Lepisosteus oculatus: one gene and its partner. The protein of the gene in region 1 binds, or shares a complex with, the protein of each later gene. Links are inferred from orthologs where the notes say so. Each region holds a gene or a part of one and is shown in the gene's direction. Other genes may lie near its edges.

Region 1 (6,832 bases):
GCTCGCTTTCATGACAAAAATTCACTAAAGGCAATCCTGCTTAATCTATACAACTATATCACCGTTCACAGCTGGCAGCCCACTGGAGCTCAGCAGGTGTGGGCCTGGTCAGTACCTGGATGGGAGACCTTCTGGGAAAGCTGAGGTTGCTGCTGGGAGAGGTGTTAGTGGGGACAGTTGGGGGCGCTCACCCTGTAGTCTGTGTGGGTCCTAATGCCCCAGTCTAGTGATGGGAACACTATACTGTAAATAGGTGTTGTCCTTCGGATGAGTAATAAAACCAAGGTCCTCACTCTCTGTGGTCATTAAAAATCCCAGGGCGTTTCTTGAAAAGAGAAGAGGTGTAACCCCGGTGTCCTGGCCAAATTTCCCCCTGGCCTTTTCCAATGATGGCCTCCTAATAATCCCCATCTCTGAACTGGCTTCATCACTCTGCTCTCCTCCCCACTGAGAGCTGGTGTGTGGTGAGCGTTCTGGCGCACTATGGCAACTGTTGCATCATTCAGGTGGGGCTGCACACTGGTGGTGGAGGGGATCCCCATTACCTGTAAAGTGCTCCGAGTGGAGTGTCCAGAAGAGCGCTGTATAAGTGTCAGGAATTATTATTATTATTATTATTATTATTATTATTAATCAATAGGGCGGGACTGGGTAGCACATACTGTAATTCCCAGCCTTGTGATATACAGTACATGTACAGCTCAGAGAAGCCCCTCCATGTTTGTTTGGGGGGGTTCCTGATTTTTGGGCGAGCGCACAAAAAATTGAATCACAATCCCATGTGCACTAGGAATAGCAACACCCCAGAACTAAATGTGGTGACAAATTTACAGAGTGTTTTACTCTCAGTGGGTTTGGCTTAAGGGCTGAGGGCCAACGTCCTGGCCGCAGGACGAGGAGGCTGGGACCCCCATGTGTACTGAGGGGTGACCAAGGGGCAGCTGCAGAGCTGGAGGAGGGGTGCAAAGGACGTGTGCAAGGGAGAGAAGGGGCTGACCCATAGTGCTTATTGTTTTAAGGTGAGGAAATGACATCAGGAATGATGACAAATTACTGACTGACGAGGCTGATTGAACTTGGCTGTTGTCATCTGACATGACTGGTCATGGGGCGGAGCGGTTGGACTGTGGCTCAGGATCTGTGCCTGTGGCTGGAAGGTTGCCGGTTCAAATCCTGCGGCCGGCAGAGGAATCCTACTCTGCTGGGCCCCTGGGCGAGGCCCTTCACCCCAACTGCTCCAGGGGCCCCGTATAAATGGCTGACCCAGCTCTCTGACGCCCAGCTCTCTCTCTGACGCCCAGAGAGAGACAGCTCTCTCCCTGTCTGTGTGTCTCATGGAGAGCAAGCTGGGGTCTGTGAAAAGACAAATTCCTAATGCAAGAAATTGTATAGGGCCGATAAAGTGATCTGATCTTACATACTTTGGCTCCAGACTCCATGAAGTGGCTTTGCCCAGGCAGGACTGGAGCTGACAAACCCGGGGTCAGTGGGTCTTTATTCCCACCCCTCCTCTAGGTGCTGTGCTCCCTGTGTGAGCTCTGCTCTCCTAACGGTGGGGCTGAAGGAGTTAACCATAAATCATCCCGGCTTCCCACCCACCTCCCAGCTGGGAGGAAGTTGGGATTCCTGGGAACAGCCACAATTACTGACCTTTCACATGTGAGTGTTCTCTGCATTTCATCCACGTAATCGTTCTCCAGCCCTCCGCTGGCAGAAGCAACAGAGAAAGACGAACGACGTTCCTACTCATTTTTTACGGCCGGTGTGCGCAAACATTTCAAGCTGTGCAAATTTTTTCACCAGTGACAAAACCTTGTGCGCACTAAACTGAGCTTATGTAAAACTGTAAACCTGAAATTATTTTTTGTTAATATAGTCATCCAAATATAAGCATAGAGATCCAAAAGATTGGGACGGCGATTCCACGAGCCCGGTCATAGAGACCGGGTGTCGAGCGAGCATGAGCAGTGGGTTCGAGACTACGAGAGCAGAGATACCGATTATCGAGTAGTAATAATAATAATAACGCACACAGCCAAGTTGAGCCTCTCGCAGCCAGTCTCATGTGGTCAATTTCGCATTTTTCAATTGACGACCGTGTTTGTTTTATTATTATCATTTTTGTTTGGGGGGGGGGGGGTTAATTTTTTGTGCGCAGTTCAATTTCCTATGTGCGCTGATTTCATAACCTGTGTACGCGCGCACACGCTCGCGGTTTAGTGGGGAACATCCACACGAAGTGCAGTGAAAACTGATAAAAACAAACAAACAGGAGGCTTTTCTGTACTCATACGTTTGAGGAACAAGTGGATCAGACACGGTCCGAACCGAAACCCTGTCTTCTCTCATGAGATGGCAGAAGGAGCAGATCCTTGGATCAATCAACAAGCTCCTGTAGACTGGCCACCCCTTCCTCTCATCTGCAGTGTTTCTTATGCTCCTAGGAGCAACAGACCATCACAAGAGAAGGACCCTCCCTGGGGACAGGGGTCCTTATCGCTGTGCCGGAGGCCCGCACGTCTGGTTTGAGTTCCCGGCCGGCTCTGAGTCGCCCGGCTGAACCCTTCACTGGCCCAGTTACAGGATGCATCTGAACCGTCCGACTGTCTTCGGCGCTTCATCCGCCTTGAAACTTGCCTTTTATCGTCTATGGTGTTTCGCAGGTCAAAATACGAAACCCCGGGGTTTCTAGGACAACAACAACAACAACAACAACAACAACAACAACAACAACAACTAACAACCTGCAATCAAGCAAGTTGTCGCTTCAATCAAGGCTCCAGTTAGGTCATTTAAAGGTCAGCAGAGCGGGCGCGCGAGCCGCCTGGGCCAGCCTGGAGCACCGCACGAAAATAAACTTCATCTTCTTAATAATCACGATATTCAAAAGCGATAAAACAGGCTTGGAGAAGCGGGGCTTTTTCTGTTGAATTGATCCGTCATTTCGGTTCCGGATCCCATCTGGTATTCTAACGTGCCTTTAATGTAACGTGATATTTAGTGTTGTTATTGCTATACTTCTTATTGTTCGCATTATTACTTTATTATTAATTACATTTTACATTAGCTACTGATACGAGAGCAATGCCATCGTATACAGGACAGTGTAAGCAAAAGCAGGTATAACAGATCGCAGTAGAAGCGCGTGCCGTTGTGCCAGTACAAAAAAGAACTGGACAACGGAAAAATACTATATCCGTGACGTGGGCCGTGATATACACACGAACTAGAGGACAACGTGGACACCCGGTAACAGTGATGGGTCCCGTCTTTCCAAATCAACAAGTCAGTTACATGGTGTCTCCACACTGAGAGGCAGGCTTTTCAATCCAGGGGCTAATTCAGGAATACTGGGCAGCGTGGAAATACGGGTCATTAAAAACCGGGGCAGATGATGAAGATAATGAGCACTATCACTGCGGACGCTTAACGGGAACTGCGGCGTTTCCCATTGAAAGTGAATTACAAGTCCGAAGAAGTCGTTCTGCATATCCCGTCAATAGACCTGGGACCCGGACCCCCCTCCCCACCAAATCTAGCCCCCCAGTTCCAGTTCCAATTCCTGAGACGTGGCAACACTCATCTTCCGACTCCCTTCCTCGCACGGGGGAGGTAACTCGGACACCCTCCTCCGCTATTCAAGAACTTTCCATTCAGGCAGCCGAAACATATTTTATAAAAGGAAAGTTTGTCCTACCCCCCCTTGTCGCCCCGCCCCCCCTCCTCCGGTCCTCTCTTACGACTGGGTGGCGGGCACATCAATCACCGGCCGGGCGCAGCTCATTGGCTGGCTCGTCCGAGGGGGCCGGAGCGGGTCTCGTGTGTCGGGATTTAGGTGCATTTTTTAGGCTCGGGCCAGTTTTCGCGAGACTTTGCGGGCGTCGGGTTAAAGGGAGAGTGAGTGGGGGACGTGTGCTGGAGCCAGAGAGAACAGGGTTAGGGAAGACGAGACAAAATTAGGGAAGGCAAGGGACTGACAGCGCAATGGAGCTGACTTCTGCTTTCCTCATCTGTGCGATCTGCCTCGGGATCTCGGACCATGTCGCGTCGGCGGACACGCAGGCGATCCCTCCAGGTAGCAGCGTGATCTCGGAATGAACAGTTTAGCGCACCGTCACAAGAGTACGCTATAAATTGCACCCGCATACTGGCATCTCAGTCCGCTCCGCTAATGCCGTGTAAACTTTAAAACACAAGGCCACTACAGCTGTGTTATTTCACGCCTTGTATGACTGCACTGTCTGCGTTTTACAGTAAGCTAGCTAGAAAAGGTGATTCTCTGGTAAAGAGATGACTCTTTTTGTGAAATGTACGTATTGCTAAGGCTGTTAACTTCGGTTGTATTTCACCATGGTACGCTTTTCGCCCAGAGTTCTCAATATCTGAGAAAATAAGGTCGGATCTCGGGCTGTCTGGATTCTTGGTCCCGAGAAGCTCAGTGCCATTAACAAACGGCTAATTCCTCCAATAAGACTGATTGATTAATTGATTGATCCGACCGCACAGCGCTATCTTCTTCCTATCCAATCACTGGAAAGTAATTGGTCTCTGAAAAGAAAAACAAACCGCTTTATACAAGCAGTGAACTGTTTGGGGAAACTGGGCGGAGGGGAGCACTAAAACCTATGATCCCAAGTTCCTACGCAGCAGTGAAGACGGACATCGAATCGATCGGCTGTTTTCCCAGACGGGTTGGAGAAATTTTGAAAACGTCTTAACGGCGGATTCGACACATCAACGCAGGGGCGCAGGCAAATGTCGTGAGCGGTTTCATTAACAGGTCGGCTCGCCGGAGGGAGTGAAAAGCACTGCGGTGTCAGCCTAAGGGTGCAGTACAAAGCGGCGATTGATTCACTGGTGCGACCCCACGGCTCCCCCACCCACCCGCGGGCTCGCAGCGCGGGGACACAGTCACGTATGAGAGAGATGACACTTTTTTAAGAATTTTTTTTTAAATCCTTTGACCGAGACCAAGCAGACAACGCACACAGCCGCAGTGGTTTAGAACCAAAAATCAGAATCGGGATTTCTAAGATCTCTCCCTTACAAAGGCGCTCTCCCCAGCCCCCAGCTGGGTTCATCTCCGGGTTTTCCCATGAGAACTGAGCGATATGGACCGTGGTTCCCGCTTTCTGACCGTTACTGTGGGGAGGAAAAATTTAAAAAGCAGAAATAAGGGCTCTCTCCCTGGGGCTGCTGGCCTCTTTCATCTGTAAATGAAAAAGAATTTGACCCATTGTGAGGACCGATAAAGTGCTTTTTACCAAAATAATACCCACTGAAAGGTAGATGGAGTTGGAGACAGTGTAGCAAGTTTTATACTCCAATATACAGCCTTAACCTGGCTGACACCCCACATTCTTAAAGTTTTTTCCTATCGGAATAAAGTTGATTTCACCCAGAACTTCTCACGATAAGTACACATTCTAACAAAATATTCAACTTTCGTCACTCTGAAACCTTCTCAACCGGGGGCCTGTCCTTGCTCGATCGGTGCGATGGTGGGGCCTGGATTTGCACAATGAAAATGAGTCCGAGCCTGACCGCCGGGTTTTGTCCGTGCCGTTTCCTTGGCCCGGTTCTGGAGCCGCGGAGCCGGAGCTCGGGGGATATTTGTGGTGAATCTTCGTGCAAACTGTGGGGAACAGCACGTGAGGATGTCAGAATTGCGTACGCTGACCGGTTTGGGTAAATCCGTGTGGCTCCTACCTGAGATCTCGGCACCTGGACTCTGGTACAGTGGCGAGTTTGGGTTGGTCTTGCTCAGTCTTGCCTGCCATCCCCCCATGCCCACGGGGGTGGGGCTGGGAGTGTTGACTCGCAGGGAGGGGGACGTCCTTCCAGAGAGCTGGAGAAGGAGATTGAGTATTCAGTCAGCCTGTGGTGTTCTGGTTCAATCACCTCATTGTACATGTGCCTTTTGGATGCCGTGTATTATGTGATTTGTATACTATAACAGTATGTACATTAGAATGCAGTGTATAAGTGCATCGTACTACATGCTTAACATCGGCTGCACTGTGATCTGTGTCCTCTAGAGAACCTGCTGGTGATCACAGCGGCCACCCAGGAGACGGACGGGTTCAAGCGCTTCATGCGGACGAGCAGGCAGTTTAACTACACCGTCAAGGTGAGGCCCTGCGCTGCCCAGCCCGTCCCTTGAAGACGGGGGTAGAGGGGTGGAGGGCAGTTTGTTCCCCAGGCTGGGTCAAGGGGCGATGGACTGAACGGGTGTCGGCGCCCTAAGCCGACGCAGACGGGAGGGAAAGCCAGTGTTGCGTTCAGACGGGGTGGTCTGCCTCTCTAGGGATGGGGTCTGGGACTGTGATCGGTTCTAGCTCGTGTCTCGCCGTCCTGCTCTTGGTGGTTAACCTTCCCCCTCTGCTCTGTCTCACCCGTAGGTGCTGGGGCTGGGGGAGGAGTGGCGGGGGGGAGACGTGTTGCGGACGGTCGGGGGGGGACAGAAGGTACGCTGGCTGAAGAAGGAGATCCAGAAATACGCCGACAGACCGGAGCTGGTCGTCATGTTTGTGGACAGGTCAGGCCATGCCGAATGTGTCTCTCTCCGTCTCTCTTTCTCCTGGAATGTCCAGTTTCTTCCCCTCCCTGTCCACATGCTCGTTCTCCTCTTTCTCTGTTCCCGTCTGCGGCTCTGGTAACCGAACCTGACACCGGTCCTACCTGCCCAGACAACAGCTGCCCCACTTCGGGTGAAAAGGCGTTTTGTCAGTGTAATGAGGCGCCGAGGTGTGGCCGAGAGCTCACGAGCAGGTCCCAGGCAGCGCTGAGGTGGGAAACGCCACGTCAAAGACAAAGGGGAAAAGAAAGAGAT
Region 2 (7,556 bases), on another chromosome or scaffold:
TTATAGTTTGGGTTGTTTGTTTCAATTGTTTCTTTGTTTTTTGAGAGCTGATTTAAATTATTATTTCCTAGTGTAATAAACTGCATGTCCTAAAACATTTCGAATTGAAATGTACAAAAGTTTCGGGAGATCACTGCTGTTCAGGCTGAAGGGTTATTTGTTTAAATTAGTTGTGGGATGGTAATGAAACTCTTGCCATATTTAGTTAAAATGAAATGAAGGGTTTATACAAGAAATCAACAAGTCATACAAATAGACATGCTTTTAGGGAGGTATGACTAATGTACAGTAGGTAAAAAAACAGTTTTGAAAATGTTGCATTAGCCAAGAGTTATGAATGAAAGATCCACCTTTTCAACAGAAAGATGTCTGTAAAAGAATTTTACATTGTTGTACCTTAAAAAGCTTTTAGTCCCAGTTTTAATGTATTTTTAATGTATTTATTGTTTTTCTGTTTTTGAACTTTTTGAAATATTTTGCTTAGCGGTTGACAGTATAACGGGTCTCTTTGAGAGTGTGAAGTCAGTCAAATGTCAAACCAGTGTTTAATGCTGAAATGCAGATGTTGTTCAAACTGTCAAGTTAAGCTCCAGGCTGTTCACTTCCATTGTTAATCTTCTGTTCTACTTTGGGTTATAGAACCATACTGTATCTCTAACTAGAGACTGAAATAAATACGTTATTTCTACCTATACCTTCCTAAGAGATGTAAGTTATTTTAAAATGGCAGAACATGCTGGAGATACAGCTGGTGGGCTCGCAGTCATTTTATAGCACCAAAACGCCATCATAATAATCAATCTGCAAGCGAGTTGCAATACAGCATTATGCCAAAGTGGGGCAGTGCACACCATCTTTATGATGATATCAACAACAGCTGTTAAAGGTATAGGGGTTTAGAAATCACCAATCTCTTCCTTCCAGAAGTTTCAGAACTAGTACATGGCATCTAGTGAAAACACTATGAAAATTTGAAGAAGAAACTGATTTTTCAGACAGTCATGCCAAATGTGTCTTAACTTTTTACTATTAATATGATACTGTATTTGCCAGAGCCTGGCTCGAGTTTCTCTGGAATTTCTACAGAATTCTGCTTCATTCCTAACCAATGTTTTCATTCACTGCTCTGGACATAATTACATCACAGAGAACAGCAGCAGTCCAAAACCACGGAATGTGGGAAGACAAAATCCGAATCACTCTCTGGCAAATTAAATAGTATGCCGGCATTATGTTACAGCAGTTCCAGATTTGTATTTGGATTGCAGTTTTGTTTCTCTTTTTTTGCTCCTCTTTGCAGAATTTTTTTTTATTTCTGACTGTAAATTCTAGGCCATCTGAACAGCTGCTTATCGTCTGATGTGGGTGGCGGGATGTAGTCTTTACAATGCAGACATTTCCCAGCTGTGTGTATACAGTATATATAGACCATATGTGAAGTGGAATGAGAGCAACTCCTTATTCTGCATTCTCAGGTACTGTTTCTCACCATGTAGTGTCCAATGTGCTCCATCGATAGAAGAATGATCTACTGTTCAGTTTGGTCGAGGAGCTGACAGTAAAACAGTTTACATGCTTACTGGAATGTGCCAATATTGCATTTGTGAAAAATTCTCACTGAGCCATTTACAGGTAACTTTACAGTAATGAAACAGCAGCTGACACACAAAAGTGTCATCTCAGCCTGTAGTTTTTATAAACAGAAGTCTAGTAGAACCCTGTCTTCACTTTCAAGTCATAAAAATCCACTCACTGAAGTATTTCCAGGAGCTGTGATATTCAACTGCATTGGTATAAAATGTTCAGGATCCTAGTTTTTTTTTTTTAAATACAATGGTGCATTTATAAATTGATTACACTTTGGAGTGGACCAACATTAATTTTTAAATTAGTATTAGCAAATGTACTACTGTCTGCGATGGACTGGCGCCCCATCCAAGGTGTATCCTGCCTTGTGCTCATTGCTGGCCGGGTCCCCCATAACCCTGAATTTTATGAAGAGGTTAGAAAATGGATAGATGGATGAATATTTTTGACTGTTTTATTTTTGACCATAATGTGCAATTTTTCTAACTTTCACCCAGGAAAAACATTCCCTTACACACCCTTCTCAAGCTTTGTTAATCTACAATCACATGGGTTGCAAAACAATTAGGCTAAAGCCATATCTCTCCTCTTCACCTACATAAGGAGTCAACTAATGAGAACGAAAACCAGTCCTTACTCGGAACTGGAGCAGCAAGCTTTCTCTGACCTAGTGAAATGATTTAAACAGCAGCTCAGAAACTGTTAATGGAAACTCTCCATAAAACGGACTTGGCTTTGGAAATTATATATTTTTAAATTTAAGAAAACTGCCATTAGAATAAATCTTGACAGGCACACCTTGGGGGAATGATTTCATTGGAACTTCGTTGTCCTTCTAATTTAAGGATTTTAAAAATATCACCCCGCAACTCACAACTAGCAACACACTGAAACTTAGCAGGTGTGAGTTTAGTCAATGCCAATACCTGAATGGGAGACCTTCTGGGAAAACTGCTGTTGCTGCTGGGAAAGGTGTAAGTGAGACCAGAAGGGGCAGTCTGTGTGGGTCTTAAAGCCCCAGCGCTGTCCTTTGGATGAGATGTAAAACCGAGGTCCTGACTCGCTGTCCGACTCATTAAAATCCCAGGGCATTTCTCGAAAAGAATAGGGTTGTTTCCCTGGTGTCCTGGCCAAAATGTCTTCCTGGCCTTTACCAATCATGGCCTCCTTATAATCCCCATCTATACATTGTCTTCATTACTCTGTTCTCTTCCCCACTGATAGCTGACGTGTGGTGAGTGTACTGGCACAATATGGCTGCTGTCACATCATTCAGGTGAGGCTACATATTGGTGGAGGTGGAGGGGAGTCCCCATTACCTGTAAAGCGCTTTGAGTGGAAAGTCCAGAAAAGTGCCATTTAAGTGTAAGGAATTATTTTTTGAAAACATCTGCTTTATTTTGTATTGAGTGAGCAGTGGTTCGATAGAAACTCCTATTTACAGTATTTCATTTTTTGAATGACCCTCATTATTTTTTGTAAGAATCTTTTATTATTGGTTATCAAGGTCAAAGATCCCCAAAGATTATGGTCCTGAGGAGCCCCAACCCATCAGTCTTACAGGTCACCCTTAATCCCCTGTTATTAAAGGTGAGGACAACAAGTGAGAAATTGATCAATAAAGGGAGCTCGGGACCCTGAGGGCTGATGGGTATTCTGATTTGTGTTCCACATGCATCTCTGAATTACAACTTTAACAAATCACCCACAAAAAGTGTTCACATTTAACTTGTTCCAGGTCTACAATAAAAATAATACAATATTAGCATGACCCCTGCCTGAGGATGTACCTTGTATATATTGGCTCAGTGAATGCTGACAACTTTCTTACCTCGCAAAGTATTTTCGTCCAGTGTAAAAACAAGCAATTCTCTTAAAATAACTTCAGGGAGAGTCCAGCTCAGTTTTCGGATTTATGTGTAAACAAATTAAACCGAAGCTATGTCCCTGTTTTCAGAATTCCTCTTTTATAGATCTGTAATTTTGTAATTAAGATTTTAACAGCTTTTGGAGAGGTTTTTAATATTCTAAGTTGAACGGAAAACTAAGAAGGGATTAGTTAATCAAAAGAACGTTTAATAGGAAAGGTTTTTTTAACAAAAACAATCAAGCCCTGTGATTTGTTCATAAATACCTACGAATACACACTCACTAACAGTCCAATGCTGTGCCTGTTTATTATTCTACTGGGACTAATACGACTGCGCCTACAGTGGCCCATCCCACCCAGACCTTCTTCAGCCCTTAAGTGTCCAATCAGCTGCCTTCGCCACGCCCACAGAACGTTCTGGCACATTCCAATTTAACGCCGCGATCTGCACCTGGATTCTCTTAAAGGGAGGGATAAAATTAAAGAGATTTTGAAATGCCGCTTCTTGTATTAAAAAATAAAGTTGATCCTAGATTCAGCGCCTGAGTATGTTTTGATAATGTAACATGAACACTAAAGGAGAAGCACCTTGTGAAGTTAATTCTGGTATTTAGGTTCTACTTTAAAACGAACGTTTTATTTACTCTGGATATCATTTGGCTCCCGGTCGGTACTTCCGATCTGTCTATGCAACAAAATCCTTTAAAGATTTGAGTTAGTAAGACAGACGTCTGGCATCAAAAAACCTATCCTGGAGTTCGTTGGTTCCTATGGGTCCTATATGGAATGATGGTGTCGTGTCTTTCGCTCAAGGCTGATGTATGTAAGGAGGAGCTGTGTTAATGAATTTGTATTGGAAAATAATACTTAAAAATGACTGACAGTGTTTTACTCCACAAACTAAACCATACCTCTTCTCTCTTCTCCGTCTTAGTACATACCGTTTCCACTTGAGGTGGATAAAATACCTTTAAAGGAAACTTCTTTTTATCTGCACACACAAAACGTAAAATAGCCGAACTTCCCCTTTAAGGAAGTTTTTTTCCCCTTTAATAACGTCTTCCCCCTTAACGCCAAAAAAACGCTCTGCGGCGTTGTATTTTTGTCGGTGGTCAGTAAATCGGGGATAACGTTTTCGTCAACCTTACTCTCCGTTTGCTGTGCGTCTCCCTGCTGGCATTTCCTCCCCAAAACCCTCGTCTGCAATGTTCCGGCTCCCCTTTCTGCTGCCTGCCCTGCTCTCGCTTCTCATCCCTGGGCCGGCCCGAGGATATTTCCCCGAAGAGCGCTGGAGCCCCGAGTCCCCGCTGCTCGCACCCAGGGTGCTCCTCGCTCTCATCTGCCGCAACTCGGCTCACTCCCTGCCGCACTTCCTGGCGACTATAGAGCGCCTCAACTTTCCCAAAGACCGGATTGCCCTGTGGTAAGCCCGAAACCGGAGAGCGTTTTAAAAAGGTTTTGTTTTATGTAGTAAAGCAGAGTGAAAATGCAAGGAGATGCGGGTTTCTTGGAGTTGTAAGATGAAAACTTTTGCTCAAATGTTGGAATGCTGTTGACACATCACTGCAGGCTGGTGAGATCCACTGTCCTAGCTGAGTATTATAGTATCAGCGAGGGAAATTATGCCACATGCATGACTTTTTAATAAACACGAAATTGGGTGACTCGAACTTTTCCTAAGATCTTTTTCTAAAGTTATCTCGCAGTTATCAGAAACTCGTTAATGCATCGCGGGCAGCATTTGTAGTGTCTGGGAGTTACGTTATAGAAAGTGGTTTTTGTGAAACAGCACAGTCCAGATAAAAAGTTAGGTGCCTGCATATCTGTTAACGCGTGAGTGAAGTAACTAAAAAAAGTTTAGTAGTCCACATGCAATAACAGATTACTGTAGTTTACCATATAATTCTCAGTTCCTCGCTGTATCTGTAGTAACTTGAGCAAGTGTGGTAGTTGAGCATCGAAATGTGATGTATGATTTAGTAATTGAAGGTAATAGAGTTTAAGTGCAGTGGATTTTAGCGGATCGCTTTGCTTTTCCCTCGGGGGCTGTGTATCTACGTGTGAATCATCTCACAAGCTGTCTTGAGGGGAACAGCGCATCCGTGCTCTTGCGCATCGGAGCAGCTGCTTTTAGCTCCTTTTTAAGTTATTAAAAAACCAGGCCGATACATGTTCAGAACCTGGAAAAAAGGCACCGTTTTCACTCCGTCCTTTCGTGATGAGGTGAACAGTGCAGATTTGCAGACTTTTCCGTTGATAAGTCTATACGATCGTGTCAACGAGAGGGAATTTAAGAGAACTTCTTAGGACCGATATTCCTTATAGTAGTAAAATATTTTGGGGAGGACAAAAACGACACATGCAGGCTGTTTGAAAAGAGGAATGTCGACGTACAACGATCATATGAGAGGCACACTTTTACTGTACTTAAAACAGGAACGTAGAAAGGCTGATGTACCAGGACGTCACCCTGGCGAGCGGTATTCAAATAAAACCTTAAAAGTTTCCAGCAGCAGCCCTCCAATATAAATGACTCCAGGCGTTAACCATTCATTTTAATAAGGTCTCAGCCGAGCGTCCGTCGGTGTGACTTGGAGGCGATCCACCTCTTAATTTTTCTAAAACGGTTTTCTGGTTTGCGGCAGAAGCAGAGTAAAACCCATTGCAGGTTTATATGAACTACATAATGGAAACAATCCCTCGTTTCAGTTACAGTGCGCTGGGCAAACGTTTCGAAAGCCTCAGACGCAGGAGGATTTCATTACCATTCAGGCGAATCCGCGACGTCGCCTACGTGTAAATCGCGGGACCTCTTTGGAAATGCTCCAGAAGTTTACATTTTAACTTTTGCTCGAGTTTAACGCAAACCCTAAAAAAAATGCTCCAAAATTGGAAATGCTCCAAAATGTGAAATTTTAACTTTTGCTCGAGTTTAACGCACCTGGTATGACTAATACTTTGGTGACAGCGGTAGAATAAAGTATTGGCGTGTTTGTATCCGTGAGTAGTTGAAACGTGTTAAGCGGAGGAGACGGACTGTGTAAAATACACTCGGTCGATTTCGTGTCGTTTGGCATGTTTGAAATGTTGATGAGGATGCTAATTAGTTCGTATTGAAGGCAATAAGCTTATCACCTAATTGCTTATCACTTTCCGTAATATAGATACAATAGTTATATGTCTATGAATGTACGAAATAATCAAAGTTTAGGAATATAGGACAGGGGTATCCAATCCTGGTCCCGGTGACCCACAAACCTGCTGGATTCACCGCAGGTGAGTTCTTTAATGAATCCAACAATCCAACTGCTTGATTAGAACTTTTCCAAGTTTAGTTTTCTACTCAAAAGTTTTGTTTTGATCTGCGCAACGCAGTAGTTAAAAGGCAACCTCCTGCCTGCTTAGGACCTGAAAACGATTCGAGTTTGAATTGAACCTATTGTTAGGTTTTTGTTTGGTTAGTTATTTGTGCTTAGTGGAACGCAGTGTAGCAGTCTGTGGGTCTCCAGAACCAGCATTGTGAAACCCTGCTGTAGCTAACTTCCTTCTAAAATGAACTGGCTGTTTTCGACAATTCAAGTGTTTTGCAGTATCTGCGATGATGTGGTGAATAGGGTGGAACACAGGTGAGACAAGGTGTGAAAGTTCAGGTCTTATAAACTAAAGGTTTCCTCACTCAGTCCCTGTGTTTGTGGTTCGGACTGGACTGTTGGAATGCCATGTAGACCGTGTTTACTTTTTGCTTGGCAGAACTGTGGTGCTTTGCCTTCAGCAACCAGCGTGTAATTACAGTGGAATAAAAGACCCAGTGGTAGTTATCTCACGCCGCAGAACTGTCGCCAAGCCCAGATATTATGAATGGACAAACCTGATTTTTCCCCCCTTCACTGGGCATTAGATTAACCAAAGAAATTGTCCTTTAGATCCCAGAATCAAATGCACCCAGCCTTCCTTGCTCTAAGGAAGAACTAGAGGTTTATTTGGGCTGGGAAAAGTCATTTTAATCTTTTGTTTAATTTCCCCCCTGGAATTCTTCTCTACTTGTACCTTTGCCGTCTTGCTTCAGCTGCTGTCTCCTTGAGTCTCTTTCCTATTTAAA

What was found. Proteins that work in one complex are often made in the same cells at the same time.
Region 2: the proteins of plod3 (region 1) and procollagen galactosyltransferase 1 are in contact, whole or in part, in a cryo-EM structure (PDB 8ZGE), measured with the Homo sapiens proteins. The link is inferred for Lepisosteus oculatus from reciprocal best matches to the Homo sapiens genes PLOD3 and COLGALT1. Residues at the interface, in NP_001075.1 of Homo sapiens: Leu226, Val229, Val230, Leu231, Lys232, Phe233, Asp234, Arg235, Arg241, Gln261, Tyr264, Leu265, Pro275, Gly430, Ala431, Leu432, Arg440, Glu442, Glu446, Arg452; in NP_078932.2 of Homo sapiens: Ala36, Tyr37, Phe38, Pro39, Glu40, Glu41, Arg42, Trp43.

The regions. Positions count from the first base shown.
Region 1 is NC_090698.1:6,905,616-6,912,447, forward strand, and holds the start of plod3 (multifunctional procollagen lysine hydroxylase and glycosyltransferase LH3), read left to right. Parts: upstream 1-3,812; 5' UTR 3,813-3,984; coding exon 3,985-4,075; intron 4,076-5,460; exon of another isoform or gene 5,461-5,635; intron 5,636-5,709; exon of another isoform or gene 5,710-5,876; intron 5,877-6,038; coding exon 6,039-6,130; intron 6,131-6,401; coding exon 6,402-6,538; intron 6,539-6,832. UniProt on the Homo sapiens protein: Multifunctional enzyme that catalyzes a series of essential post-translational modifications on Lys residues in procollagen. Plays a redundant role in catalyzing the formation of hydroxylysine residues in -Xaa-Lys-Gly- sequences in collagens.
Region 2 is NC_090706.1:18,192,205-18,199,760, reverse strand, and holds the start of procollagen galactosyltransferase 1, read left to right. Parts: upstream 1-4,540; 5' UTR 4,541-4,662; coding exon 4,663-4,880; intron 4,881-7,556. UniProt on the Homo sapiens protein: Beta-galactosyltransferase that transfers beta-galactose to hydroxylysine residues of type I collagen. By acting on collagen glycosylation, facilitates the formation of collagen triple helix. Also involved in the biosynthesis of collagen type IV.